Linked DNA regions of Notamacropus eugenii. The protein of the gene in region 3 interacts with the protein of the main gene of each other region in a biochemical or structural test. Links are inferred from orthologs where the notes say so. Each region holds a gene or a part of one and is shown on either strand. Other genes may lie near its edges.

Evidence for each region.
Region 1: of the proteins of MAPK1 (region 3) and ATF2, one has a biochemical effect on the other in vitro, tested with the Homo sapiens proteins (3 studies listed by BioGRID). The link is inferred for Notamacropus eugenii from reciprocal best matches to the Homo sapiens genes MAPK1 and ATF2.
Region 2: the proteins of MAPK1 (region 3) and TNFRSF1A form a complex in vitro, tested with the Homo sapiens proteins (2 studies listed by BioGRID, with this or other methods). The link is inferred for Notamacropus eugenii from reciprocal best matches to the Homo sapiens genes MAPK1 and TNFRSF1A.
Region 4: of the proteins of MAPK1 (region 3) and ELK1, one has a biochemical effect on the other in vitro, tested with the Homo sapiens proteins (16 studies listed by BioGRID and IntAct, with this or other methods). The link is inferred for Notamacropus eugenii from reciprocal best matches to the Homo sapiens genes MAPK1 and ELK1.

Annotation. Positions count from the first base shown.
Region 1 is NC_092876.1:237,515,173-237,522,248, forward strand, and holds the start of ATF2 (cyclic AMP-dependent transcription factor ATF-2), read right to left. Parts: upstream 3,111-7,076; 5' UTR 2,949-3,110; intron 1-2,948. UniProt on the Homo sapiens protein: Transcriptional activator which regulates the transcription of various genes, including those involved in anti-apoptosis, cell growth, and DNA damage response.
Region 2 is NC_092874.1:194,580,028-194,587,571, forward strand, and holds the start of TNFRSF1A (tumor necrosis factor receptor superfamily member 1A), read right to left. Parts: upstream 3,019-7,544; 5' UTR 2,487-3,018; coding exon 2,451-2,486; intron 1-2,450.
Region 3 is NC_092875.1:8,406,963-8,414,928, forward strand, and holds the start of MAPK1 (mitogen-activated protein kinase 1), read right to left. Parts: upstream 3,069-7,966; 5' UTR 3,049-3,068; coding exon 2,387-3,048; intron 1-2,386. UniProt on the Homo sapiens protein: Serine/threonine kinase which acts as an essential component of the MAP kinase signal transduction pathway. MAPK1/ERK2 and MAPK3/ERK1 are the 2 MAPKs which play an important role in the MAPK/ERK cascade.
Region 4 is NC_092879.1:101,805,236-101,813,416, forward strand, and holds the start of ELK1 (ETS domain-containing protein Elk-1), read right to left. Parts: upstream 3,018-8,181; 5' UTR 2,517-3,017; exon of another isoform or gene 1,700-2,516; 5' UTR 1,669-1,699; coding exon 1,462-1,668; intron 1,311-1,461; coding exon 981-1,310; intron 863-980; coding exon 530-862; intron 409-529; coding exon 307-408; intron 26-306; coding exon of another isoform or gene 1-25. Other genes in the region: protein UXT, read right to left, coding at 3,246-3,299, 3,389-3,452, 4,148-4,255, 4,589-4,656, 4,741-4,822, 4,901-4,998. UniProt on the Homo sapiens protein: Transcription factor that binds to purine-rich DNA sequences. Forms a ternary complex with SRF and the ETS and SRF motifs of the serum response element (SRE) on the promoter region of immediate early genes such as FOS and IER2.

The DNA.
Region 1 (7,076 bases), on a different chromosome or scaffold from region 3:
TGTTTTTCTAGCTCGTATTAAAGTGTATCAAAATACTATTTAAAATAATGCTATTTTGAAAGATTATTTCTCTGGAAAACACTAACAACTTTTTGGGTAATTATGATCTTCCTCCAAGATGATCAATTAAATAATGAATAAAAAAATCATTAGATCTGCATAAGTATGTGAGGCTTAAAGAGAATATAATATTACTACCTTCAAAAGGTTTTTCCCCTACATAAGTGACTTTGATAAAGAAAACAGACTTCTATCTGATATCTGCACTATTTCTTTCATTGCTTAGATGGCAGGCAGTGCAGATATATGAGGTAAATGTAAAAACCTCATTTGGATTCAAAAAATAAACTTTGCAAGTTCAAGATGAGGAAAACATAGTTATCTGAAACGGAAACATGTCATCTGAAAGAGACCTTGCAGCTGCAAGTTCAGTTTGAGTGAAGAGAGTGATATGGGTGACAGAAAAGGTGATATGATACTAACCTGTGTTTACTGAAGCATCATAATGGTTATAGTTCAACTATACTGTGCCTTGGTAAGACCACATCTGGAGTACTGTGTTTAATTTTGGGTGCTGCATTTTATAAAAGAATGTTTATAAGCTCAAGAACATCTAGAGGACTAACTAGGATTGTGAAGGGTTTCAAGATCATGCCACATGTGATTCAGTTGAAGGAAGTGGGAAGATTTAACTTGGAGACGACCTAGGGAGATACACGACTACCATCTTCAAGTATCTGAAAAGCTGTCATGTGGAAAACGGATTGGCCTTGTTCTTTTATGGCTAGAACAAAACTAGAAGCAAGGGCTGGAAGTTAGAGGGTAGATTTAGGCTTCATATAAGAAAAAAACTTTCCTAATGAGAGCGCTCCAAGAAGGAAATGGGCTACCTGAGAGAATGTTACCAAGAAGTCATCAGACAAAAAGAACGGATGGTCACTTGCTGAAGATGGTGGAGAGAGGATTTTTGTTCCAGTATTGGACACAGTAGACAGGTTCTAAGGACCCTTCCAAATCAGATTCTATGCAACTGTCTAGGAAGTATTTTGAGAACATTATCTTGTACTTCCTGTCTCTTCAAAGTAGTGTATAAATAGTAGCAATAGGATGCTTTTTCTTAAAAGAAATATCACTGTGTATCCTTCCCTCATAAAACATTTTTTGAGTATCTACTATGGGTCAGTCATTATGCTAGGTACTAGAAATATAAAGAAGACAGTAATATCCAAATAATATAAGATTACATTTTTAAAACTAGAATGGTTAACAATATAAAACTTGGGAAATGCTTATACTTTACAATTCATCAGTCAGTAGTTTAGGTCAATACTTTAAAACTCTTAAATAATTCACTTTTAGTTTTCTAGGATGAAATAATCAATAAACATTTATTAAGTCCTACTACATGTCAAGTGTTGGTGATAAAAAGACAAAAAACACAACAGTCCTCAAGGAGCTTACATTCTATTGGGGAAAATAACACACACAGGATCAAAAATAATTGGGAAGGCAGGGGAGAAGCACCAGCAGATCAGTAAGAACTTCTGTGACTCAATTTTTAAATAAAAAAAAATGGCTCATTTTACATACTTCTTAAGAATGCTCAAAGTTATGTATTGGTGTTCATAATGGGTTCTTGGGTTCAATGTGGCCAATATAACTTGATAATCTAATCCAACGACCTGAATTACATAGTCCTTAATCCCTGATTCCATAAATATCTAGACCTCTAAAATAAACTTTTACTAACAAGCACCCATTTTTACAGTTTTAATAAAACAGATGAGAATGATTGGGTGTTTTTTTCCTAATGAGAACTCGCCTAAAACTCCCGTTAGTAACAATTGTTTAACAAATATGCTCTAATATAAGAAACAAAATGTTCCAAGGCTGAACATGGATAGCTTTTGAAATACTCCTTGGACGCGTTCATTTAATTATCTCCCCTACATGAAAGTTAACAAATTTTGGAGCCTATGTTCCTTCAACTACAATAAAAGGCTTGGCTTCCATAAGATATGGGTAATCCCTGTGACTCCATTGTATTTACAGAGTAGCTGTGCTGTTGGCTCCCACATCCCCTTCAGAGGAGGATTTTACACCAGACCTCAAGAGCACACAAGTAGGCACGCACAAAAGGGGCTCCCACCTCCGCCCTTTCCCTAGTCCCCTCCCAGGAAAAGACCACAGTCATTAATAAGGTAGCCCCCACAGGTGCCCTGGGGTGTGAAGGATAAAGAAAAGCTAAGGAAAAAATCCCAGATCATCCCCTGACAAAGACTTGGCTGTACACCAGCGGAGGTCACCGATGGGAACACACCTGCATTCACCTACGGAGGGGAGGGAAAAGAAAAAAGAGCAGGCCGGCCCTCCCAGAAGCCATGACTACTAGCGGTGGTGCGGTTCGCAGTGAGGATGCCCACCACCCAGGTCAGGGAGGTGAGCGGGCCCAGGTGCCCCTCCTGTTCCATGCCGCCGCCGCCGCCTCCAGCGCCCCAACGCACCAGCCGGATCTAGGGGGGCAGGAGAGGACTGCTCCTGCTCCAGGCCGGAGAGGAAGGGAACGTGGAAGGGGGGGGTCACGCCCACCTTCACAGCGGAGGGCACAGCCCCCCAGGAGCCTCCCCCAAAGCCGGGAGAGCCCGGAGCGGGGGAGAGCAGATGCCGTTATTCTGGGCAGAGGAAAGCGCGCGAGCCGGGAGGAGCCGGAACCCGGCCAGCCACCCACCTAACGGTCCGGTCCTCGAAAGGCCGCGGGGCAGGCGCCACCCAGGCCGCAGCGGGGGCGGAACTGCCATCACAGACCGAGGGAACAGGGACCCGGGCCGAGAAGGAGTGGATGGTGGGGGGTGGGGACTGTAGCGAGCGACGTCGCCATGTTAGCGCCTTCTTCCCTCGGTGCTCCCCGCCTGCTCCCGTCCGACACCCCGATCCCCACCATCACTCACCTTCCCCGCTCCCCTGGCTCGCGCGCCACCCCCGAATACGGGGGCCGTGACCACGAGCTCCGGCACCCACAGCTGTTTACAAACTACCCCCGGAGGAAAGGGCTGAACCGCACTTTAAAGGCCACGGGCTCCCACAGGCTTCCGTCCGATCTCGCGAGATCTTACTGACAACACTTCCCTCCGCCCCTTTCTCGCGCCTTCCCTCCTACATTTCCCCTCCCACGTCCCCTTCCCCTCCCTACAAAAACGTCCCCTCCCCTTCCTGCCGCAGGACCAACTGCCGGTCCCGGCTGGCTAGACTAAGAGGGTGGGGCGGCAAAAGAGTTGGAGTGGGATTAAAGGAAGAGGAGGAGAATGGGGTGGAGGCGGAGAACAAGAGACGGCTTACATCCTATGATTGGTCGAGGACCGTGAAGGGGCGGGAAGAAGGCGGGAAGAGGAAGGAAGTGGAGAGTTCTCTCAGGTTAGAAGCAGTGCGGCGGGCCGTGATTGGCCGGAAGGGAGTACAGTACGCGAGCGTTGGAATTCGGTAGTGCAGCGCGCCGAGGTCCTCCGGGGGGGAGGAGGAATAGGTGAGGCTGTGAAGTGTGGCTCCCATGCCCAGCCACGGGGCAGGGCTTGGCAGTTAGTAGGTGCTGCCCTCTTCTCAAGTGACTCCTCGGGCGCCTGAAGACCTGGGAGAGAAACGCGACACCCTCCTCCTCCTCTTGCTGCTCCCCTCCCCCGGCGCCACCCTCAGTCCTGGGGCGCATGCGCAGTCCCTCTCGCCTACCTGAAGGGGCTCTGTCCGCTGCTGCCACATCAGTCAGAGGCGGAGCTCAGGTGGTGGAGTGGGTATTTTTGTTTGCCTTTTTTAAGTGCCTACACACCTAAAGAAAAAAAAGACGCAGGCTGAGAGGTGGTTTTGAGAGCGGACAGCCAGAGTAATCGATCGCTTCGGTTCGCTTCCGACTAGAATGAAAGCTGCCTGAGAATTTGGACTCTATTTCCAAGTAAATGTTAGTCACGTGGGACCCAAGTTGAAAGGGATTTCGCCCCAACAGCCTCCACTTTCACCTGGTTGTTAGAGAAGGTTCCCTCCTGGTCACCCCCGATCGCCATATAGGAAGGAAGGGACTCGTTCTTCCCTTCAGGACCAGAATGTGAAGCTTACCTTACCACTGCCGAGGTTGCAGGTGGAAATGACCTTCCTAGGCTACACTCATCCATCACTTTTTTTCTCATTAATAGAGCTCAAATAAGGAGTCAGGCTTGGGGTTCTGGAGTCCGAGAATCTCGAGTTACTTGTTATTTGTTGTCTGTGTAACCTTGTGAAAGTTATTTCCCGTCCCTGGCCCTCAATTTCTTCATCTATAAAAATGAAAGGACTTAGATGAGATCACCTTTAAAGTCCCGTACAGCCCGAATTCTGTGATGGCTGTAAATGGCTGCACCTTCAGCTTTGATGGGTATTTACAAAATGAAGAAAATCACTTTTTTAAATTCTGAAAAATTATGCCTGTACATTGCTCAAACATAATTGTGTTTGCATTTATTAGTAATCCCACCAAAGAATCACCCACAAATTTCATTTTTGATTTGCACTTTCATGGGATTTAGAATTGAAAGAATCTTTAAGTGATCGCCCAATCCAAATTCTTCCTTTTGCAGATGAAGAACTGAGACCCAAAGAGATTTTAAAAACTTGCCTGATTTCACACAGAGAAGAGCTAGATTCAAATATAGATCTTCTAACTCCAAATCTGCGCTTTTCACAGTTTAGCAGTCATGAAGTATATACAATTTGCAAGTCACCAGGCCCTGGTCATACAAAAAGAAAAATGAGACTCCATACTTCGAGAAGATTGCCTTCTCCTGGAAGGTTAAAAGGTGAAGATGTGTAATATCTGCTAATTTAAGGACAAAAAAAGCATAGCATTCTAAGTTTTCTTTCAAAATTATGGAAAGGAAATTGAGATTATGAAATATTGCCCACAATAATTTGATTCATGCTTAGAAAACAATAATCATCTCACTGTATTTCCTCTTGGTATGTATAACAGTATTTTTTCTAGTTATACTTAAATAAAGATCCACAATACATTTCTCTAATGGCAAATTCAGAAGTGAACATTGGGGACTTCAAATATAACTTATCAGTTCAGCAAAGTTCAGTTATTAATTAAAGCCTTTTCAAACAATAGTTGAATCACTTGAAAAAGTTATAAAAAATTATATGTAGAAATAATACCAAAATGAGCATTATATTGTGACTATCACATTACAGACATCACTTATAATTCCAATAAAAAGGGGAACATCTGTCACCTTATAGATGGCTTTGTAAAGAATATTGATTTTATCAAACTCACGTGGAAGACCACAGGGCCAGCTTTTCATGTGAGCTTCCCTGAAATGTGCTTTATAGCCCTACTATTAAATTACAGGTGTGCTCCTAAAGATCATGAAAAGCACATGTACCTGGACTTCTTAATAATCAATCCCAAATTCTCTATACAATATATGGATTTCAAGGGTGTTCAGTAATATTAGTTAATCAAGACTATTTGTCCAATGGATTATTTAATGAAATAAGTTAGTCATTGGCATTGGCCTGAAAAGTATTTTTGCCCCCCTAGTGAAACTTAAGAATCTTTCATTAACAGCACTTTCTATAAGAGCAAATTTATTTCAGTATTCTCTAATCAGTTTTTTCTTCTTCCTGTTCACATTTTAAACAACTTTTAATGGCATGGGGGAAAAAAAACAAACCTAGACTGGGAGTCAGGAGATTTGGGTCTTAGCTCTGGTTTAACCAACGTAATTGATTTTAAACAAATCAAACCCAGAATATTTATCTGTAAAATAAGGGAGGGTGAGGAGTAAGACCAATTTCTAAGTTCTCAACCATAGCTACAATTCTATTATTCTGTTTTAAAGCAGATTAAATTATTAATATTTAATGTGATATGCCCTCCCAAAGTATATATATAAATATACAAAGTAAATTGATGCACAGATATTCAGATTATATTTCAAAGGTAAAGAATGTGCACTTCAGTAATGGTATCTGGCATTAAAAATGAGGTTGTAATGGCGCTGGACCTTTTAACAGATTTCTGGCATGCATACATGTACATGAGCCAACTCAATCCTCTTTTAAAACTAATTTTCAATACACTAAAGACAAGAAGGATGCCAGATTATTAATGCTTGAACATTAAAAATTAAAATGATGGTAACTTCCCAAATTTCATAGGAAACATCAAAGCATATCATTAAAATGAACTGTTTAAAAAACATCATCACATCCACAGTCCTTATCTATAGGAGCTTAAAAGTATTCACTGTAAAAATATTAATCTACAAAATGCAGAGTAAATTCATCATAAACAAGTCTGGAATGAATCATTAAAATAGTACCTCTTTACCCTCTCCAACACTTTATATAAGACAAAGCCAGCTGTGATCAGGACAAGAAAATTTCACAAACTCTTGTAGTTCAGCAGAGGAAATAACATAAGTGTATCTTACTTTACCAGTAGCTATGTTCCTGAAAACTTTCATGTGCATTTAATTTTTGCAAATCAATCATTTTCTCATTGACATACATTAAAGTTTTGAGGTGCTTTATCTTCATTTCTGATTAATCTTCATTTGGCAGTGACTCCTAATATTTTGGCTTTAAAATTCTCTTGCTCTCCTGACTCACTCAGCCTCCCTGCCAAGTAGTTAATGATTTACTTAAATGCATGAGGGGAACTTTCTATTTAAAGGAACTCTTCCATGAATTCTTTCAGAAAGAGAATGCTTCCATAACATGAATAATCATCTCATGATGGCTCTTTTATAAATTAATTTTTTTTTAATATCAGGTTTTCTAAAAATGAGGAAAATTACGGCAGAGCAGAGGAATGATAGAAAATAAACATGAACAGTCTGTGAGGGGGAAAGGCCCAAGTAGCAGCCAGTTATGTTGAAGGCACTGGTATCAGAGTTCTTTTTCTGTGGCCTCTTCAAATGCTTTTTCTTTCAATATCTTTTCTCAGTTCATCAGTCAATGATTTTATGCTTCCATATCCTCTAATCTCAATAGTGCCTACATTTCTTCTCATTCGCTTCCTTCTATCTGTAGTAAACATCTTCAAG
Region 2 (7,544 bases), on a different chromosome or scaffold from region 3:
TGAGTGAGTCACTTAACCCCAACTACCTCCAAAAAAAAAGAAAGAAAAGGGATAATATATCTTCAGCCCCAACTTCTCATCATATTTCTAGTTTCATACCCCTCAATGCTTTGAGGATGCCTACACTTGGATGTTTCCCAGATATCTACCATAATCTGCAATAATCTTATCAAAAACCAAACTCATCACTTTCTTTGCCTACCTAGACATCATCACTAAGCATCATTTTCATGATTCCTGTGGTTCAATTTTATTGATCCAATCCAATCCAATCAATCCATCCTGGAAATTCTTCCTCTCTACTCATAGATTCACCCCCTTCCTCTTCATTACCCTGTATGTAGTCCAAGTCCTCGTTGACTCACACCTAAACTTTAGCAACCACCTCTTGTCTTCCTTCCCAGCTCCCTTTATCCCATGTACAGCTGTAGTCATTCATTCTCAGGTATCAGTCAGGAAGTCAATCACTTGTTGACTAAGTGAATGAAAATGAATAAAAATCTCCCAGATATCTACTGTTTGTGATTTGAATCTGTATCTCTACCTCAAACACTTGAATCATATAATCTGATCATTGGCTGCCCAAGAACTTTATGGTTTCCTAAGGTCATATCAGTTGTGATCTTTGTCTAGATTTGTATTTAAGGCCCTCACTTCCTCCCCAATCTCTCCCTTTCCATTTTTTAATTTCACCACAGTTCTCAAACTCCACCACAGAAAAGGTGATCTACTCACTGCCCTCCTTATGAATGCCTGTTCTCTTCCTTCTATATGGCTTACGTCATTTTCCTTAACTTCACCCTTCTCTCCCAATCAATGTCTCCCAACTCAAAACATCTCCACAAAGCTTCTGATGGCTAACTCCTTCTTACTGATTTCTCTCTTTTGCCCCTACAACATATCATATTAGGATCATAGAATTTAGAGCTGGAAAGGACCTTAAAGATTAATCGGTTCAACTCTCATTTTATAGGTAAAGAGACCAAGGCCTACAGAGGTCAAGTGACTGGCCCTAAATCACACAGGTGATTTCTAATAGGAGAGCCAGGACTCCAACCACCTTTTGTGCGCCCAACCTACCAATCCCCTACATTTGACTAGTGTTTCCTGGTTCTAGTGCTCAGCCCTCAGTAAGCTTAGAAAGGAGAGGGAAGGACGAAGAAGTCAAATGACAGAGAAGAAGAGAGGAAAGGGAATGTAGGGTTAAATGAAAAGAGAAGTGATGGTGAAAATAACAAAGGATATGGGCAAAAGACAAGAAGCAGGAATCAGGGGAAGAGGACAGAAGACAAACTGGGATAGAAGAGGAAAATGGAGGAGCAGAAGTGATCAAGAGGCTAAGGAAAGAAAAGAAAGGAAAAGTGGAGAGAGGCTGAAAAGCAGAAAAGAGAACAAAAAGTTCAGGAAGATAGGAAGGCCATAGAAACAGCCAAAAGCCCATGAAATTAGTGAGTCCAATATGGTAATGAAGACTTTTAGAGAGGCCTAGGTAGTGAGAGAAGAAACGGGAGATGTGGAGAGAGGCCTAGAGCCGGTAGGGCTGACGGGAGAGAAAGGGACATTTCTAATGACGAAGACAACTTTCCAACTTCCTCAAATTGGGCTGTAGGATAAGAAACTGAACTACAGCCATTTGGGGGTTGGAAGGGGTGGGATGTAGAGTGGTACACTCTGCCTTGTCATTTCAGGGAGATGACTGTACAATCCAAGAACCCTCTCAGGCTAGGTGTAAAAGTTTAGAGTCCTGTGAAGTGTGGGAGGTGACCCCCAAGTAAAAGAATGGACAAAACCAGCCTGAGACAAGCCACAGGAATACTTTAATCAGCCCCACAACACAGCTCCCTGTCTCAAAAAAAATCCCCTGTTAACACCCCAAAATGACCACCACTCTTCAGGCCCTGCCCCACGGCTCTGTTCCCCTTGCCCCGTACCATACCACCCTTCATCCCTAACATTGTCTTTTCCTTTCTCCACAGATCTCTCTTCATTCCCTCTCACAGGGTTCTCGCCAGGCAGAACAAAGTTCAAAATACTTTGACTCCTCAGAGCTGGCCCTCTCACCACCACTATACCTTTGTCTTCCTCAACAGGCAAGCTCCCTCAGCCCCTAGTGAAAACCTGTCCTCTGCCCTCTCCTGATGCCTGTAGGGTCCTTCAGTGTCTTGGGACCTGTCTTTTCTTGAAGACACTCTCCTTCTTCCCCCATATGACCAGTCTCCCTCTCCCTAAATCCCCAAACCTTTCAGTCTCTGTCTCCAGGGGACAAATGTGGTGACCTGCCTGAGGACCTATACTTCGGTACTTTTCATTGATAGGGAGAGGTTGGGCAAGGGAAGTGGGAAGACCAGGGGTCTGATCCCCCAAACTTTGCCTGGTGCCCTGGTGGGCTGTATGAAAGCCATCCCCGAGTCCACCCCCCGACCATGTCCCGTTCCCTGTCCATCTCTCACCAGTGGCACCAAGCCAGGCAGGGTGGGGTGGCCCATGTCCGGCCTGGCTGTAGCTTTTCACTCCCCCATCAGGGCTCGGGGCGGCCGCTGCGGGAGCAGCGAGCCAGTCGTGAGCGGAGCACAGGATTCCGAGGTCAGAGACCCGAGCCAGGCTCTTGAGGATGGAGATCTAAGCTCAAAATGCCGACAACCCTGAAGACCGAACCGGAGCGGCAGCTGCCACCAAAACTTGAGTCCCGGCTTGAGCCAGGGTCGGACCTTGAGCAGGCAGCGGGAGCCGAGAAAGCTAGGGGAGAAGAGGGAGGGAACGAGCAGGGTGTCGTAACCGCTGCTAGGACAGGAAGAGCCCGAGGAGGAGGCGGGGTGAAGCGGGGGAGGTAAAAAATTAAAAAAAAAAAATTTTAAGACTTTTAACCCTAGCCCAGCCAAGGATTCAAGAGTCCTGGATGAAACTTCGGGGGGTTCCCAGATCTCTGATGACTTCCATACAAAAAGGCAGAGAAATTCTTCCCCTCTTCCATTCCACCATAGGACACGAACCATCCAAACACCAGCACCTCAACCCCACAAATCACTTAATCCCTTCAAAAATCCCAGGGCATTGAAAATCCTCCCTGTCCCTCCCCTTTTGGGAAGGAAGGGGAAATAGCACATGATGGGGAGACAAGAGATTCTGGGCTCTCTTCCCATTCTGCTACTAATCCCATGTAGGACCTTGAATACTCTGAGCATCAGTTTTCTCATCTAGTTAATAGTAATAAGAATAAATATTTATTAAACACCTACTATGTGCCAGGAGTTGGGTTTTTTTTTAAACAAATATTCTCTCATTTGATCCTCACAACTATTATTATCCCCATTATACAGTGGAAGAAACTAAGGCACGGAGACGTTAAGTGACTTGCCCAGGGTCACACAGCTGGTAAGGGTCTGAGGCTGAATTCAAATTCAAGTTTTCCTGCTTCCAGAACCAGCAACTGTGCAACCCAGCTGCATCATTTGCCAATAAAAATAATAATAGTTCCAATGATGATGCAGTGACAGTGAAAAATTAATTCTATGGGGCTCTAAAGTTTACAAAGCACTTCCTTCACAGCAATGCCTTGAAGTAGACAGTGTGTGTATTATGCTCAATGGACAGACCTAACCCTAACCCTAGAAACAAAGAAAATTATTCTCAGAGAGGAAAAGTGCCTTGCTTATGGTCACACAGTTAGTATATTGCTGGACTCCAACTTGGCCTTCTGACTCCAAGTCCAAGGCTGCTTCACATTTCTTGTAAGTGTAATGGAAATAATCATGATGGCCACCATACCTACATCTACTGAACAAGAGCCCATCCTCTCAGAGACATGCTGGTAAATGTTTAACTATTGCCTGAGGGAGTGGGAGAGGACTTTGTAGGTGTTAGATGTCTTAAAATTTAATCTGCATTAATATTTAAATTAATTTTTAATTAATTTATTTTAATTATATATAACACATTATAATTTTAATTATATACAATAATTATAATTTATTTTAATTATAATTAATTTAAATTAATATTTTCTTCATCACTTTCTTAAGTCTAAATAATCAACAGAACAATAAATAAAGCCCTGATTTGTAAGCATTTACTGATGTCCAAGGTGTAAGTGCTCATACTGAAATTTAACCATCAATTCTACAGCCAGTTTGATCTGGCTCCAGCATAGTGCTGTCTCCAGTAGATCTAAGCATGCCATCCCTGGTTCCTTCTGATGAAGTGACTTCTTCCTGTTACTGTTGCTTGCTTTGTCCTTGTTCTTGAAGGGAACTGTGGCATCAAGATTGGATTTAAGGACCAGAGGTTTCTTTTACTTGATGCCCCTAGGGGTAGGATATGTCTCAGGTCCATCTGATAGTTCAAGTTCACACCATTATCAAAAAGGAGGTTGAATTAACTATAGTATGGAAATGATACTCGACAATATCATAATCCTTGGCTCAGATAGAAGTCATTCCCTCATCAACTAGTCAGCCCATTGGGTGTGGTAACTTGGACAGAGTTAGGGACATCCACCAAGTCTGATGTGTATGGATTCCTCACAGACTGGCCTCTTTTATACCTTTAATGATCAGAATACTAAGTCAAAGACTTGCCCCTTACTCCCCTGGGCCAATCAAGTCTCAGTGACAATTTTCTTGCCTTTTAGGGAAAAACTAACCTGGTCTTTTTGGGTTCAAAAACACTGAAAGAATTTTTCTGATGCCTCCTACAGCACAGTTGTTTGTGGGGTGTGTTAGCACTGATTAAAGATATCATATGTTGTGTGCTGAATTAAACAACCAGGCCAATGCTGTAATAAGGACCAGAGGCTAAAAACCTCATGTGAGGGGACCCTGGCCCATATTGCTGCTATCACACCCTACACCATGCCAGCAAAGTCCTTTAAAACAGTCTTGTCAAACTCAAATAGAAATGGCTGCCATTAAACTCAACATAAAGATCCCTATGGGCTGTGTATTGACTTAGAAAAGTACATATTAGATATTATCTTTGTTTTATTGCATTTTTTATTCATTTTGTTAAATACTTCCCAATTACCTTTCAGTCTGGTGCTGGCCAAACTGGGGAGTGTTGGGGGCTGCAGTTTGACAACCCTGCTTTAAGGGACTTTCTACCATTTACAGAGCTTTAGGGTCATTATTCGACAAACCTAGTCTCAGGGATGAAAGAAGCTTGATATAAGCAGCATTGGAGGATGAAGAGAAAAACTAATCAGAAAAATACAGCAATAATTTCACAGCTCTTTGAAGGAGTAACAGAATATGGAAGAGAGGGAAGACTGAAAACCCTCAGCTTTCCCTCCCCATTTTGGAAAGAACTGAATCTTGCCAATCTGGGCCACGTAGAGGGCGATGCCACATCTTTGCATTCACAGTGGGGCTATTAATGATGAAAAGCAGGCATTGAAAAGCATCAGAAACAACAGAGCCACTGCTCACATGACACTTTCTGTTATCATCAAACTTCAATACAGATCAAGGTCATTTGAATTAAGGTAAGTAAGAGAAACTTCTCTGGGATCACTGCCTTGTCATGGCAGAAGGGCTTACATAGCTCAATGAAACTATGATATATGCCATGAAGGGTTACTCAGGACAGACAGGTCAAAGTGGAGAGTTCTGATAAAAGGTGATTCACGGGAGAAGGAAATGGCAAACCATTCCAATATCTTTGCCTAGAAAAACTCCATAGACAATTAAATTAAAATGCTAAAAGATATGACATCAGAATGGTGTGTTATGATCCACAGGGTCATGAAGAGTCAGACATGACTGAACAACAAAAAGGTAGAAAGGTCATTACCCTCTTGAATATAACCTGTCATATTGCCGGGGTCTGTGCCCACCAGGGTTTAGTCCTCCCTGGAAAGCACATCATGAGGATGATACCAAATATTTGTCTCTTTAGAGACCTCTGTTAAGAGTCCACCCTCTTCTATGAGTTCTGAGAGTAAGGGTTTTCCTTAGCCTTCATTCAAGAACTCAAAATTACCATTGTCAACTAAAAGATTCTTTCTTCCAGGTAAATTTATAATTGTCATATTTATACAGAGACAGTTTCACCTTCCCCCATATCATTAGAAAGGAAGGCACTTCCCAACAATTCTACCCATGATTCTCCAAATCCTTTTTGGGAAAGAGTTATCTGAACTATCCTAAGGGAAAAGAAAACCGTCAACTTAGGGAAACCTGAGTTGTTTCTCCAACGTGTATGGAGCCCCTTGAGGAAGCAGACCTTGAGACCCAGGTGATTCCCCAAAAGGGAAGGAACAAGGAAAAGCCTGAAAGAACGGACCAGGGCTATGTCTAAAAACAGCCCATCTTTATCAGATAAGTCTTCCAGGATACTAACTTGATCTGAGGAACCACTGGAATTTCAGAGGCATGATGAGGAAACTTGTTTCATAGGGACAAACTTCTTGCTGGAGGATGGAGAAAATGGGTTAATTTGCTAGCTGGGAGCAGGTCAAAGATTACAAAGGATAGATAGGTGCTCTGATTGGCATAAAGATCTCCTTTGGAAAGAAGTAGCTGCCTTATCCTTAGGGGTATCACGTGTTGCAGTCCCCAACATCATGACTCCAACTTCCCATTAGGCAGTGGACGCTTTTCCCCACTTCTTATAGTTTAGTGATTGTCCAGTAGTTTCTGTCATATTTATTTGACTCTTCAGGACTCTGTCTGGGGTTTTCTTATATGTATATACGTATATATATATATATATATATATATACACACACATGTCTGTGCATCTGTGTGTATGTATACATACACATACATACACATATATGTATAATGTTCTATTTTTTCCCCAATTATGTGTTAAAACAATTTTTTAACATGTGGGGTTTAAGTTTTGAGTTCCAAATTCTATCCCTCCTTCTCCTCCTTCCCTCCCTTCTCCTTGAGTTGGTAAGCAATCAGATATAGATTACACATGTGTAATCAAGTAACACATTTCCATATTAGTCATTTTGTATAAGAGGATTAGAATTTTAAAAAAGAATGAAAGAAAGAGAAAGAAAGGAAGGAAGGAAGGAAGAGAAAGGAAGGAAGGAAGGAAGGAAGGAAGGAAGGAAGGAAGGAAGAAAGAAAGAAAGAAAGAAAGAAAGAAAGAAAGAAAGAAAGAAAGAAAGAAAGAAAGAAAGAAAGAAAGAAAGAAAGAAAGAAAGAAAGAAAAAGATAGGATGCTTCAGTCTATATTCAGACAATATCAGTTCTTTCTCTGGAGACACATAGCCTGCTTTAACAATTAGTCCTTTAGGATTGTCTTAGATAGTGGTATTGCTGAGAATAGCTAAATCATTCACATTTCTTCATTGTATAATATTGCTGTTATATATACGATGTTCTCCTGGTTCTGCTCACTTCACTTTTCATCAGTTCATGTAAATCTTTCCAGGTTTTCCTGAAATTATTCTGCTTGTCATTTCTTATAGCACAATAATATTTCATTACAATCATATGATATAGCTTGTTTAGTCATTTCCCAATTGATGGGCATCGCTTTGATTTCCAGTTCTTAGTCACCACAAAAACTGCTGCTGTAAATATTTTTGTACA
Region 3 (7,966 bases):
GTGGACACCTGGTGCCAGAGGACCAGAGAGCAACTCAATATGCCCAGTGGTAACACGTCTTTCAGGTAGAAGGAGATGGGAACACAAGGAAGCCTGGGGGCTGGGCAGCTGGATCCTGGTTCTTTATTATCAACATATGGGTTCAAGATTAAACTGTATATGGTACTACAGAAAACTACCAACAGTGGTGCTAAATACCAGAAAATTCCAAGAGCAAAGAGAAAAACTAGTTTTACTAGTAAAGCATAAATAAAACTTTTTAAAATTCCAGTAGCTGACAAGTCCTTCCACTCCAAAGAAGAACCTAAAGAATACTTTCAAATCTCAATATGCTTAGTGTTGACAATGAAGAATAAAGGACTGGATGTATCACAACATAACAAGTATGAATTTTCTATTCTAGAACTAGAGAAACCATGCTGAATGATGTATCGCTATCAGAGTCCATATTTCCCTTCCAAAAATAAAACAATCTCAGTCACTTCTAAGTACTGCTTATAACTTCTGCCTAATTACACAGGTCCAGTAGCAATCACATATATCATTAAGTGTTCTAAGTTTGACTGGTTCCCAAAACAAAATCATTCCTGTGGGGTCAGCTTTGTGCTGCCTCCACAGCAATGGAGGACAATTTTTTAAAAAAAAGAAGCAAAGAGAACATAGGTCACAACACAGTATATTGAGCTAATGTAGTTTCATGAAGGGACAGAAAAGACATTGTGGGAGAGGGCAGACAAAAGCAATCTTGAAAAATCGAGTAGCACCTAGAATAACCACCAGGAGTAGGCCTACTAGCTGGAAAGCAAAGAAACAGCAAAGGTGAGAGAGAAAAAGAGAGAGGGAGGAGGTGGAGGCAGAGTGAAGAGGAGGGAAAGAAGAGAGGGAAGGAGGGATGATGGATGGATGGAGAAGGGGGGAGGGAGAGAGAATGAGAGAGAGAGAAGGAGAGAGAGGGGGAGGGAGAGGGAGAGAGAGAGAGAACAAGAGAATCCATCTTGCTTGGTTCATTCTCAGATCAAGCAATAAAGGACCACCCTGGCTGGACTCTCACTCACTTTGGGGAATATATGGCAAGACAGAGCCATGATGCTCAGAAAAGTACTATTAAAAGTCTGAATTCTACTCCAGATAAAAAAAGACATTACTGGGCAATACATGGGTAAAAGACATGAACAGGGTAAGAAAACAAAAATAATTTCCTTTTGAATCACTGAAAAATACACTTTAATAAAAAGTTTGCCCTCTATCTTGACTCTTTGCTAGATGCTGCCATATGGTCTCCATATCTTATTAGGACATCAAACCAGCATGTCTAGGTTGACAACAAAAATTCAAGTGAATCCAAAGGAACCATCTAGGGGTTAGACCATCAGGGGCAGAAAAAAGTCTGAAACTGAACACCTGAACAATTTCCCATCCATACTTTCTGTGATTCTATTAATCATTAAACAGTTTTTTTTAAAGCACAATGCACAACTGTTCAAGTCTCAAACCAATAAAAGGCCACGAAACAATAAAGCTAAACACCATGTTCACTAGAGTCAGTTCAACAAACTTTAGACACCTACTGTATGCAACGAAATAATTTGGTGGGGATGTAAAGAGGAAAAAAGGGAAATTGTTCCCACTTTTAAGAAGCTTATGATTTGACAAGAGGAGGCCAATACTAGGTCACACAATAGAGCTTTTAAGCAGTCTGATGGCCTCAAATGAAGAAACCCATCTGACTGGCCAAAATGTAAGATCTGGGATCACAGCCCGTTGATTAAAATTGGGATATTGCCGGATGTAAATATGAAGAAAGAGGGAAGGCAACTCTACCTCTGATGCTAAAGGGAACAAGATGGCACCCTGGGAAGGGTGCCTTAGAACCAGGAAGAAAGGATCAGGAGCTCCCATGCCAACTCCGCCGGGTCTCAGATCTGGTCATTTGTTAACAAGTGGTGGTACCTGCCCTAAGCGCCCGCCAGGATCGCCAGGAAGAGCCAAGGTCCTCCTTTGGGGCCCTGGGGGCGATGTGCACGGGCTATGCTTCTGTCAGCGCCATAGCCTGGAATGCTGGGGGTCACCGGGGGCTCCACAGAATTGGGGAAAGTCCCCTGGGAGAGCTGGGCGCCCCTCCGGCCCCGGGTGACCTTCAGCACGCCCGGCCGGCCTCCGTGTGCGCATCTGTACAATGGATACTGTAGCGAGGCTGTCGCTGTTACTGTTACTGTTACTGTTACCGCCACTGTTACTGTTACTGTTACCGCCCGGGCCTGGCCCCCCAGCCCCGAGCAGAGGCCGGGCCGGCCCTGGAGCCGCAGCGCAGCCCGCCCCGGCCATCTTGGCCCCCCCACCCGGTAACCGGGCACGCACCAGGCGCGGCCGGCCGCCCCGCACTCACCACACCATGCCGTAGGCGCCCTCGCCGATGTAGGACAGGTTGGTGTAGCGCGGGCCCACGTCGAACACCTGCCCGCGGACCATCTCGGGCCCCGCGCCGCCGCCTCCCGCCGCCGCCGCCATGATGGCCGCCGCCGCCGCCGCCGCCCGCCGAGGGAGAAGGAGGAGGAAGAGAGGGCGAGCACGCGAGGAGGGGCGCCCACCGCCGAGCCGCCGGGAGCTGCCGCGGCCCCCCGAGCGCTGCCGCCTGCTGCCTCCGGCCGCCGCCCGCTGCTGCCGCCCCGACCGACTGACGGCCCGACTGCCCGACTGCCTGGGGGCCGAGGGCGGGCGCGCGGCGAGGGGCGGGGCCTGCGGCGAGCGCGCGCCGATGCGGAAGGACCGGCCGCCGGGAGGGGGAGGGGCGGCCGAGGCTTCGCGGTCACGTGCAAAGGGAGCGGAGGGGAGGGGTGCGCGCAGGCGCACACGCCGCAGGCCGGGGGAGGCGGGGAGGAGGAAGGAGAAGATGTAGACCGAGACGAGGAGAGGGGCCGCGGGGAGCTGCGGGGGCGTCCGAGGGGGAGCGAAAGGGAGGAGACCGAAAAGAGGACCTCCGTCCGGGGAGGCGGCCGCCGCACCCACGCACCCCCTGCCGACGGAAAGCGAGCGAACCGGAGTACGCATGCGCCGAGAGGCGCCGCCGCCCGCCCACACGCAACCGCGCGCCAGCGCCCCCCGCAGGCGCGCCCCGGCGCACGCCCGCCACATACCCGCCCTGCACCCCGCCCCAGACACGGGAAGCCGCGCATGCGCCGCACGGGCCTGCGGCCCGAATCCCAGCTCAGCGCCTCTCCCCGTGGCGTGGTGCGGCGCGGCGCCCCCCTGCCGGAGGACCCACTGTGTGCTGGGCTCTGCGCTCCGCTGCGGGGGTGCAGAGAATGCAGAAGCCGCCCCAGGGGAGCAGCCCCGGGGCACGCGGGGCAGATGTGCCCCGGCACGCGCGCCTCCGCCCGGGCCTGGCAGGCCCCGAGATGCCCGAGCATGCCCTCCCCTGGGAGGGGGGGGGGGGGTCCCACGCCCACGCCCCGAGCCTCCCGGTGCCCCCGCACCAGGCTCGGCACTCGCACGGTGGGAGCTGGATGGTCAGCGCTCACCCCGCTGCCCTCGAGCCCTCCTAGATCCCACGCGCACCCCCTCAACCCCTTCCCGAAAGTGCCCTGGCAGCGTAGTCAGAGGTGCAGGCTCAGCCCCCCGACACCCGCCCCGAGAATCGGAGAGGCAAGCAGCCTGGGAGCCCGCGCCCCTCAGGCGGGGAGCTCAGCGGTGTGCCCAGGTCACTCAGGCACCCCGTCCTTCCGGTGCCTACCCTTGCAAAGCAGGCTGCGTCCTGGCACGTAGGCCCTGCACTTTACAGCGGTCTCGTGGGATCCTGACAACAACCCTGCCACCTAGGTGCCGAAATTAGGCCCCTTTTACAGTTGAAGAAACTGAGGCAGGCAGAGGTTATGTGACTAGTCTGGTGTCCGCTGCTAGTGAGTGTCAGAGGCGGGGTTTGAACTCAGGACCAGCAGTCTATCCACTGCATAGCCTAGCTGCTTCATGGAAGGTTTGCAACGCACTTAGCAAGTTTTATCTCATTTGATCCTTACCACAATCTTGGAAGGAAGGTGCTGTTATTAGCCCTGTTTTTCAGATGAGAAAACTGAGGTTGAAAGAGGTGTCTTTGCCTGCAGTGTTAGTGGAAAGAACATTGGCTTTGGAGTCAGAGGACCTGGGATCAAATTACAATTCTGCCACTTGTGTAGCCAGTTAAATGTAGTATTTTTCACCTCTGTAGACTCATCTGTAAAAGAAAGGAGGGCAGAGTCCCTTCCAACTCCAAATGGAGGACCCTCTCATAGGGCAAAACACTTGGAGCTCATATACATGTAGAAAGGTATGCTCCTGTGCAGGCTCAAAGCCCCTACCCACCCTACTAGAGACGCCCTCAGATGCCCAGACCCCACACATACTTCCAAGGATCCCCTCTTCCTGTACATACCATCACAACCCACTCAGATCTCACACCCACTCGGCAATTACCACACACATTCAGCTACCCAGCTATCCCCTCCAGGCACATCTCCCCAAAGGCACCTCCACTCTTCCCACATCTATTCCTCCTACACACCCTTCGGAGGCACCCCCATCTTATAGGCACCCTCCACACACAGAGCTGCTCAACACATGCTGAGAAATGCCAGGCACCTTAATCCCCACTCCACGGCTTCTGCTGCAAGTTCGTCTGTCTCTCCGTCACACGTACCACACGCTTCGAAACCACAGCCAGCCAGATCTAAGCCAACACCATCCACCCTGGTTCAGCCTCTGTTTTTGCAAGCAGAGCGTGCAAACGGTACATCACAAAATCTAATCTGGTTGGACCCATTTTGCATATCTGATTTTGAGGCTGCTGTTAGTAAACTGAGCAGACACTGCTCAGAGAGTCAGAAACAGCATCATAGTTCTTGAAAACCTCCCTCTTTTTGTATCACCCGCCCTTAGCACAGGGCCTGGCACATGGTAGGTGCTTAATAAATGTGGCTTGATTGATGACTGATTGAAAAGAAGAACACAGTTCTGGAAAATAGAGACTGAAGTACTGGATATAGATGCCCATCAAAATTCCAGAATATATTCTCAAACATAATGTGTGAACCCCTGGAAAGAGGAGCCAGAACAAAGGATTCCAGACTACATAAAATTCCTTCTTTGCTAGTTTACTGGCTGCAAGGCTGTCAATACACAATGGATGGATTTCAGCAAGAAAACTTGTAAGACTCCAGGTGCCAAGATGTAGCACATACAAGTATACAGTTAGATGAATTCATGACTAATTGAAAAACTATTCAGACTAGTGATTACTGGATCAATGCTGTGCTCTCACTTCCAAAAACACAACTGCGATGAACTCAGAATGAACGAGATGGAACTAGATATGAAAAAACATTCAAGAAGCTGCAGGCTCCATATGAGTCAGCAATGGCTTGTGGCAGCCAAAGAAGGCTGATGCGTTCTCGGAGGCGTTCAGAGAGGCAAGGGAGGGAACAGATCTGCTCTCCTTTGCTGTGGGAGGCAGGATGGTCCAGGATGAAAGGAAGGTCAGAGGACCCGGATTCATATTCCACCTCTAATGCTCCTCACCTCTAGGACCTGTCCCTTCACCTCCCTGAGCCTAGGCCCTTCATCGGTGAAATGATCTGGAACCCTCAATCTAAGCTGCTTTCCTCATCTTCCTGTCTCATTCTCACAGTCAAGCTGGGTCCCCCAAGAGGGCAGTGACATCTGTCCTCCGGGTTCTAGCCTTACTGCTCTGGTGTGATTCCCAATATCATTGAACCGGCTGGCATTGCCTCAGCCTTAATTAACATTGGTTAGCTTTTACAAAAGGATATTAAGGCATAGAGAGGACCAGAGTACAACTAAGTCACACACAAACATGCACATGCACACGGAGCCTGGGATACACTATCCCCCAAGAACTATAGGATACTGGGCTTAGGGAGCATGTAGCCAAGCAACTCAGGGCCTGCATTCCGGGATTCTTTTTCTCCCTTTGAGGAGTACTCTTGCAGTTCGTAAGGGTGGGGACCCCCAAGGCAGCTAGGTGGTATGATGGGTAGAGCACCTGACCTGAAGTCAGTAAGTTGTTAAGCTATGTTTTAGTCAGGTCTGGCTCTTCATGACCCCATCTGGGGTTTTCTTGGCAAACACACTGGAGTGTTTTCTATTTCCTTCTTCAGGTCATTTTACAGATGAGGAAACTGAGGCAAATAGGGTGAAATGATTTGCCCAGGGTCACCCAACTAGGAAGTGTCTGAGGCCAGATTTGAACTCAGGAAGATGAGCCTTCCTGACTCCAATATACTACTCACTGCACTAACTAGCTGCCCCAGAGTCATTTAGACCTGAGTTCAAACCTGGCCTCAAATACTCCCTATCCTGGGTGACCCTGAGCAAATCACTTTACATCAGACCTCCCTGATTTCCTCATCTGTAAAATGGGGATAATAATAGCACCTCCCTCTCAGGATTGTTGTGCCAGTATCTGTAAAGTGCTTTGCAAACCTTAGAGGACATCTGACTGTTATGGATGAATATCAGAGTCCAGAGCTGAGGACTTTCTTTTTTTTTTGTGCTACTGAGGCATGTGTTACAGGGGCCTGCAACTGGTGCTCACGGGAAGGCTCATGAGGCTGTCCTCTGGTCAAGTGTGGGGCAGAGACAGAGCCTCTCTTCTCTCTCCCTCCTCCCCTGACTTCCTTCCTTCTCCCCTGTCTCCCTCCCTCCCTCTTCTATCTCCCTCTTTCACTCCTTTCTTCCATCCCTCTTTCCTCCCCTGCTTCCCTCCTTCTGAGGGAGAAGTCTCTCAGGAGCTTGACTGGAACTGTCCCAGCACAAGGCTGGCCAGCCAGTGGAAGGAAGCCCAGGCTCCAGCTGGCAGGCTGTTTGTATCTGAGCCCCACAGGGCAGGACCGATGCTCTCCAGCCAATTCCAATACATATCCTGAATACTATTCATCTCATTTCACTTCTTCCAGTGCTTGGCATTTCTGAATGATTAAAGGTTTCTCCCATGCCTAGTTTATACCTTTAATTGATTTATTCTGTACCATAATTAGAGGTGCTCTCAGCTGGTAAAGGTATGCTGGCTAAAGCATCTGGTTAGTTACACTGGTTGGGGCTGGGTGATTGATTGATTGATTGACTCAGTGGGGAAGTCTGGACTTCCCGGTGACCACCTCCCTAACCCTGTGATCAGCTGAGGGAACAGAGTGTGTTAACTCTAGCAGGTTGCCCAGTGACCTGTGCAGAGTAGGCTTCTCAGAAATGTTGATTGAGTTAAATGGAAATGCTGGGGAGGGAATCATCTTTCCTCTTCAGAGCTGGAGGGAATAGGTATCCCCAGAGGGAATAAGCAAGACCCATGAGTGGAGACCTGCTGGAAGGTGAGCAGATTATTACTGAGGGAAAATAATGATTTTGTTCATTCCGTTCCCTTCACTGATCTCCTTTTCTTCCAAGGGGGAAACAGAGGCACATTGTACATATGTCTCTACCTCTCCTGGGGGAGGGGAGAGGGAAGCGTGGGCCACTAGAACTTCCCATGAGAGCGCTTATTAACAGCAACAACTTCAACAATAAAAAGTTATTTTTGTTGTTTCGTCGTGTCCGACTCTTCGTGACCCATGGACCGTAACACACCAAAGCTGTCCGTGGGGTTTTCCCTAGCAAAGATACTCAAACGGTTTGCAGCTCATTTGACAGATGAGAACATGGAGGCAAAACAGAAAACCCCAAATGGGGTCATGAGGAATCTAGAATGACTGAACAACAGCTCCACTCCTTGGACACTTGCTGACTATGTGACTGTGTAAGTCACCTGATTCCTCTGTTTGTAGGAAGCAATCATTACGCACTCCCCAACTTGGGATGTAAGGAAAGTGCTTTATCAGCCTTGAACTCTGCAATCAGTGGGTCTTCATCCATGACATTAATTTGGTGTGGGGGTCAATATTCAGTCCTGGGGGCATGGCACACTTTGTAAATTTAATCTGCTTCA
Region 4 (8,181 bases), on a different chromosome or scaffold from region 3:
AGCTGCTGCTGCTGCTGGCCGGAAACTGGGAGGAAAGAAAGACAGAGACAGAGAAAGACAGAGAGAGACAGGAGAGAGAGTGAAAGAAAGAGTGAGTGTAAGAGAATGAGAGAGGTGAATGAGAATGGGAATGAATAAAGACTGGGAGAGCCTGGAGATGAGGAGAGACAGACGACAGACGCACACAGACAGACAGATAGACACACCAGAGCCCACCAGAGGAAGCCGGGAGTGACATACACACATGGACCTGGGTGGGGATAAGTCAAGAAGACAAGGATTGACACGCCCCTCCAGGGGCCGCACCTGGAAGGAGAGGCGGGCAGGGCTGCGGGGCGCGATGGGGCTCAGGGTGCTCCAGAAGTGGATGCTGGGGGGCAGCGCACTGGGCGTCAGAAGCACCGGGGTCTGTGGTGGACGGGAGGAGGGCAAGGGACAGTGGAGCAAGCCCGCTTAAGCCCCGCCCCCAGATCCGCCCCCGCCCCGCCCCGTCCCCAAGCCCCCCCTCCCGGAGGCTTCTCGGGCTTACCAGGGCGTGGGAGGTAAGCAGGGAGGGCGTGAGGGCCGGACCCAGGCCGGAAACCGCGGCCGGCTCGGGGCTCGGCCCCAGCGGCAACTCCAAATCGCGGGGTTTGCGACCCTTGGAGGGGCCTGGGGGGTGAGCCTGGACTTCGACTGCTGGGGCCGGGGCGGGCCCCGGCGACTCAACGACCTCCACGCTAGTCTCCATGGCAACAGCAGCTCCCTCCTCTAGAGGCCGCTCTCCCTTCGTCTCGGACGGAAGCAGCAGAGAGGAAGCTGCGGTCGAAGCCTCTGCCTCCCCAGCCTCCGCCAGGCCTTCGGCGGGAGCCATTAGGATGACCTGGGGGCGGGGAAGGAGAGGAGGCTGAGGACTGGCCCAGTCATTCTCATTTCTCCCCCCCCACACACCCTTCCCCCAAGGAATCCAGACACCCACGCACAAGCACACATAAGCAAACCTGGAGCGGCATTCGGGCTTCTGAGGCCTCAAGGCTGGCTGGGCTAAGTGGCTCTGGGGCTGGCCGAGTTGGCCGCGCTGGGCTCAGCTGCTGCAGGGACTGGATGGTGAACGTGGAGTAGAGCCCAGAACGCATATACTCATTCCGGCTGCTGCGCACAGGGGTAGGGGCAGAGGACCCAATGCTCCCTAGAGAGGCCTTCAGCGGCCGGAGGGTCTCTGGAGCAATCTCAGCCCGGACCTGGCCCTCCTCCCCACCGTGGCCTGGCCCCTCCGGGAAGGACACGAATTTGTAGACGAACTTCTGCCCACTCACCTTACGGATGATATTCTGGGAAAAGTGGGAATTTGGGGGGCAGGGGTGTTCAGGGGTAGGCCCAACCCCTCCTCCCATGCCCCCCCAAAACCCCTCTCCCAGCGAGTGGGCCTCCCCAGGGTAAGGCGGGGACCCGCTGAGCCAGGCCAGGCTGGGGGAAGCACACCTTGTCATAGTAGTAGCGAAGTGCCCTGCTCAATTTGTCGTAGTTCATGTTGGTCTTATTCTTTCGAAGCCCCCACAGCCGTGCCACCTCCTCAGCATCTACCAGCTTGAATTCCCCGTCACTAGATGTCCAGGCTATAAGGTGTCCATTACTCTGCTCCTTCAACAGTTGCAGCAGAAACTGCCACAGGGTCACAGATGGGTCCATCACTCCAGACACAGGATCATGAGCCAGCCAGCTGGTTAGTATGAAGGTGGGAAGACAGAAAGAGGGCTTTGGATGACTCCATCACAAGGCAAAGTGTAGGGGAAGCTGTGGGTCACTAGCTATCCCATGACTCCAAAAGGAGAAAGAGGAGCATGAAGACATGGGGGAAGCCAGAGCATGAACATGGGAGTGAAACTATGTCCTACAGCATGGACACGGGGATGACACTAGGCCTGCGCTGGTAGGGAGGGGATATGGAGAATGGACACAGAATCGGGGTTTGACTCCTTATTGCAGGCGCCACACATGGAGTCATTAACTTGAGCAGTCCAATGAAGGTACAGGCATGAGTATGTCTTATTACTGTGGGTGGACAGCTTGGCCCCCAAAGTTAGAGCCATAACAGCAGAATGAGGATTTGGAGGATAGTCATTGAATGTGAAAGCTACAGCAACACAGGACCATATAACCTGGTCCATCACTGAGAGGGGGCGGGGCGGATGGCACCATTACTGAAGAAAGGGCAACATGAAGGACAGGATGTCTGGGGCGGCCTATTAGCATACAGGGGCTACGGGGACAGGAGTCATGCAGAGGGACTACAGAATAGGGACAGAGGGGTTGGTTGGTCCGTAACTCTAGGGAAGGAAAGCCACAGCTAAGGCCATTGCTGCCGATGAGTCGCACGGAAGGCCACAAATAGGTCCGTTCTCGGCTATTAGAGGCGCTGGGGGCCTCCAGCCCAACCCTGTCTCCCACCCCGTACAAATCCCCCCCAAAATACACAGAAAGCTCGCCCTTCTCCTGCAGCAGATGCCCTCCCGATTCCCAGGCTATCCCTGCCTCACCTGTGAGCAACCTGATGGCAGCTCCGGGGAGCGGGGGCTCCATGGGGGAGTCCCAGCCCGGTAGCAGCCACCCTCCCGCCCCTAGCTCCTCCTTCTTCTGCTGACACCGATCCCGGCCCCTGTCCACTCTGTAGCCTCTTATCCAGGACCGGCCTGGTTTACACCACCTCCCTCCCTCCCCCTACGACCGACCGAAGCCTGCCCCGGCCCAGAGCAGCCCGGAGCCGGCCCAGAGCACCACCGGGATAGAAGAACCGGGGTCTGGCTGACGTTATCGATCACGTGGTAAGGGAAGGCCGAAGGGGCGGGACCCGTGAGTCAGAGCAACCAAGCCGCCACCAAAGGGCGGGACCAACTAGAGTGGCAAATCTAAAGCCACTAAGGAGACAGATTGTGCGCCTGCGCAGAAAAAGGCCCAGCGCAGCTAGATGAATTTCTTCAGTCTGCGCCCACCGAGGTGGGAGGGGGGGGGGGGGGAAGGAGGCGGAGGAAAGGGGCCAGCTCGAACACAACCATAAGAACAAACAGGAAGAGAACAGAGACCGTGGCTCTGCGACTGCAGAGAAGATAATGGTAGGGAGGAAGGCTGCCCCATCTCCATGGCAACAAACATTCTCCCCTCCCCAGCCTCATTCCCAGCTTTTATTAAAGGGATTTCTGATTTCAAGTAACAAGAGTTGGAGCCTCAGTAGCAGTCTTCTTAGGGAAAGGAAATTCTCAGCATCCTAATCAGTGTCCTGGATGATCTGGCAGCTCTTGTAGCCCCTGCAGCTCCCGAAGGCCCTTCGAGGGAAGAGAGTACATAGGATCGGAAGTTAGGTTCTAAAATAAGCTTTCCACTGACACACCTTCCACCCTCCTGCCCTTCTTACCTCCAGCACCAATCGGATGTGGGCTTTGATCCGAGCTGAATCTCGGGTGAGGTTGTCACTTAGCCTGGAAAAAGATAGCTAGACTTAAGGAGGGAATAGCATGCTCGCTCAATTTGGTATGAAAATCTATCTTACACGACAGTAGGGGAGAAGGAGATAAGGGGGGCGGGGAATGATAGAAGGGAGGGCAAATGGGAAGAGGGAATAATTAGAAGTAAACACTTTCCGGAAGGGACAAAGTCAAGAGAGAATAGAAGAAATGGGGGGCAGGATAGGATGGAGGGAAACATAGTCTTACACAATATGACTATTATGGAAGTCATATACCCTATACTGAATTGCTTGCCTTCTCAGTGGGGATGGGTGGAGAGGGAGGAAGGGAGAGAAGCTGGAACTCAAAGTTTTAAGAACAAATATTGACAATCCATTTTTGCATGTAACTGGCAAATAAATACAGGTAATGGGGTACAGAAATCTATCTTGCCCTACAAGAAAAGAGAGAAGATGGAGATAAGGGAAGAGAGGGGTGTAATAGAAGGGAGGGCAGATTTGGGGAAGGGGTAATCAGAATGCACGGTGTTTTGGGGTGGGGGAGGGGAGAGATGGGGAGAAAATTTGGAACTTAAAATTTTGTGGAAATGAATGTTGAAAACTAAAAATAAATAAGCCGTTAAAAAAAAATAAAGATGGCCAGAGCTCGTCAGAGACCCTTTCCCTTTCCCCCTCACTCCTGTTCCCCTCAAACCCTGGAAAACCTACGAGGTGAGCAGGCGGCTTTTCCGATCAATGAACCTCAAGGCCTCCATCAATGTCAGCTCCAGGAAGAAGCCGTGGCCGAGGGCCACAAATATCCGGGAAGGGTCTGGCCTGGAAGACAGAGGCATTTCTCAAGGGGCTCTCTATGAACCTCGTGGCCCCTCTGGGGCTTCTCTGCATTTGGGATGGTCTCTGAGTTCTGGGATTAGGAGGTGGGGTGTTCCTTATGGAGTAAGGGGTTTTTAAGCCAGAGTCTGTGAACTTCAAAAAAACAAACAATAAAAAACCCTGGCTACCTGAAATGGAATGGAACTGATCTCCTTGGAGTCCATATATTCTATTTCATGCACTTAACAACTATGCTGGGGGCAGGGGCCCATAGGCTTCCTTCCACACTGCTCCAGGGTCGATCTAGGGTGATCCACTGATGAGGGGGGGACTCACACTTCGGCATTCACGAAGAAGTTACACCCCAAATCCACCTGTGTGTGCAGCCTCTGATCCCCCGATTCCTGCGGGAGGGGGGGTGCTTAGAGGGCGGGCCAGGCCGTCCCAGGGCCCAAGGGAGGGGCTCCCGGGCGCCCCGCCCCGCTCACCTGGAGCCGCTCCAGGACGTTCTTCAGCTGCAGGTAAGCGGCCAGCTGTCCGTACACTTCCTCCCGCTGCGCCAGGACCTGTCTGGGGTGGGGGGCAGAAGGGGTGTCTAGGCCCCGCCCGCTGCCGCCCCCCGCAGGCCCCACGCCCCCTCGCATTTACCTTAGGTCTCGCTGCAGGACGTCGCTGACGAAGGTTTCATACTGCAGGACCTTTGCCTGGACCCCCCGCGGTGCCGTCGCCATGCTGGCCACCCGCATCCTCCCACCCCCTTAGCCCAGGCCCCTCGCCACTCAATCCAGTTCAGCCAGCCGCGCCAGCAAAGACCCGCTTCTGACTTCCGGGGGTGAGCCGCAAGGGGAATGCATCACTTCCTGGCGGTTCTGCGTCACTTCCTGCCGCGTACTCCCCGCCCCTTGGGTCACGTGTTTGGTTGCGTGGCCTTGCACTCCCAGGTGGGTGGGAGCTGCCAGGCTGAAGCATGCGCAGAAGACCTGAAGAAGCAGCTGTTTCTGCTGGCCCCCGAGATCCGGGAGACTCGTCTCGTGACCTTCCGGTTTCGAGACTTTGCGCGGCTTTGGCCCCGCCCTTGAAATTCTCTGGCCCGCGGGCTGTCAGTAAGACAGCAAGCATTCAGGAAGCGCTTACTCTGTGCCAGGCATAAAAAAGCATCTTGGCTTCCCTCTCTGCCTTGCGGCCTGCCCTAGGCCTTCCCCCCTCAGATTGCCTGCCATTGACTACACTTTGTACTGACCTATTTGGTAAGACTGGGACCTCCTTAGGACCAGGAAGCCACCTTGAGGGTGACCTTGGGGACCCAGACTCCGGCACTGCTTGCTCTCCGCCTACACACACACCCACCCCATACAACAATTCTGGCATTAAAAAATACTGACATCTTTGAGGCTGGTTAATACCACCAACATTTCTTCTACTATCTACTCCCAGAGAGCCAACCCATACAGAAAATAATGTTTGCTAAAGAGGGAAAATCAGCAAATCTGATCAGTGTAGAAAAAAGTCTAAAACAAAAAAAAAATCTCTACCCTGTACCATTCACAATTCCACAGATAACACATATAGATCTTTCTTTTTTTACTTATGTTTATAACATATTTGTATGTGTGTATATATACCCAGAGAGCATACAAAGCAGTTTTGGATTAGATCAGATAGGGCAGTCGGCAGAAGTCACTTTTAGTATGAAAAATGTTGACCTGAAAACTTGGTTTAAAAAAAGAAGGCAACAGGCTAAATGCATACATTTTATGATTTAATTAATTAATTAATCAATTCCCTATTAAAGACAATGGCACCATAATGCATTATGGAGCCAGAAATGTTCTGGCTACCAATACAAAGAATTGGGCGGCCTTAAATATGTTTTAGGACAAAGAAGTGTTCTGTGTCCTTCAGATTTATGATCTCCATAAGTGACTAACAAGACCATTAGAAAGAAATTTCTTAATTGCATAGGCTGTAAATACAATAAGATAACAGAGTTTGACAAAGTTTCACATAGAAATTATGACCCAAGATGTCTATATTTTCTTTACCACTAATATGCCATAACAAACATAGTATATGTCTATAGATAATAAGATCTAGTGTCTTAGGTTAAAGGTCTCCTAAGGAGTGTAGAGTCAGCCTTGGCTGGCTTTTGCTGACATAGGAAGAAGCATTCTCTGAGTTTGTTTCAGAGAGAACAAAGAGATTATTCCAAAATTTTACATTAAACATTATCAAAATTAAAAGAATGCTTAATGTATTAGCATGTGTTTGTACATGGTTGCCAAAGAAGACCATGCCATCAAAGAAATAACATGACTTCCACTTGACTTTGCTCTGAGTGAGGGAGGGCTGTGCAGGTCACCATCCTCACTGCTCCTCCAGAGTCATCTGAATCCAGTGACCAGATATTCATCAGGATGACTGGAGATGACCCAGGATGAGGAAATGGGGGTTAAGTGACTTGCCCAAGGTCACAAAGCTAGTGAGTGTCAAGTGTCTGAGGTGAGATTTGAACTCAGGTCCTCCTGACTCCTGCACTGATGCTCTAGCCACTGCACCACCTAGCTGCCCCAACATATTAGGATAGCTATTTACATCAGACCAAAGCAAACAGTATCTTCTTTATCAGTCACTTAATGAACATTTGTTAAGCTCCTACAAGCTTTATTAGATTGGAGAAGGAGACGAGTTCTTAGAAATATTCAAATGAATTCTCTTTTGTAATCATAAAGTGGTTGGGGGAAGGGAATTACTGAAAAAGACATTCAGTGTCTCACAGAAAAAGAAAGAAACATACCAGCAAATACAGCACAAACTAGTCAGTTAGTTGGATGCCACCTGTGCTTGTTCTTTACAGAGAATTTTCATTTTTGATTGTTCTATGACTCCTTCTACTTACATTGTTGCAGCTCACTTTCCTCGGCATCAGTTCATGGAGATCTTTCCACACTTCTCTATTTTCATCACTTTTATCATTTCTTACAACAGAGTAACACTCCATGCCAATTCATGGACCACCATAAATGTAGTTATTCTCTAATGGATGAGCATCCACTTTGTTTTCTTATGGGAATAGCCAGTGGTTCCTTGACCTGCTGCCAGTCTTGCTTTTCAACAAGCAGAGAACTAGGAGATAAAATCAAGGTTTATTTTATATGCTTCAGCATAGGTCCAGAACTCAAAAATCTCTCTCAATCAGGAACAAAGTGTAGATTTAAAAGTTTAGATTTCCTAAAGTTTACACAGTTTCTAATCTCATCAGAGACACAAAGAAAAGAATACAATTTTGCATTACAGTGGCTACAAAGAGAAAGGAATCACTGATAAGAGAAAGAAAAGATTTACATGACAAAGATTATGCTGACGTGATTTGTATTTCAAAGATAACTGAAGAAGACAATCACATTAGAGCTAGTTCATCAAAAAATCACTAATGAGGGAAAAATCTGGGATTGGGGTAGCATGAATTCTTTTATTCCCATATTTTTTTTTTATGTAGATCAAAATAATTGGGAGTCTTATGAAAATCTCAGCCAGCTACATGACTTTCCTTCTAATTAAAGTGGCTTAAATAATACTGGAGAGAAAGGAATAAAAAATTCTTACAACTCCTTATGGTCATAGAAGGAAATGAAATGTCTCTCTGTAACCATATTCTCATACATTCTGTCAATCTCCTTTCTAGATGTCTCAGCATCAGTGTTATGGCAAACATTTCCACAGGCAGATAAAATATTGGACAACACTGAATACAACAGCAAAACAAAACCAATACACGAACAAATATGGGCATCATATCATAATTTCCTTAATCCAGCTTTTTCCTGACAACCAACCCAAATAGCCATTTAAACAACATATTTCTTATTCTGTTATCATGGGTTTAACCGTCCCATAAAGTCATCTGATTCTGGGAAACATTTTCCCTAGGA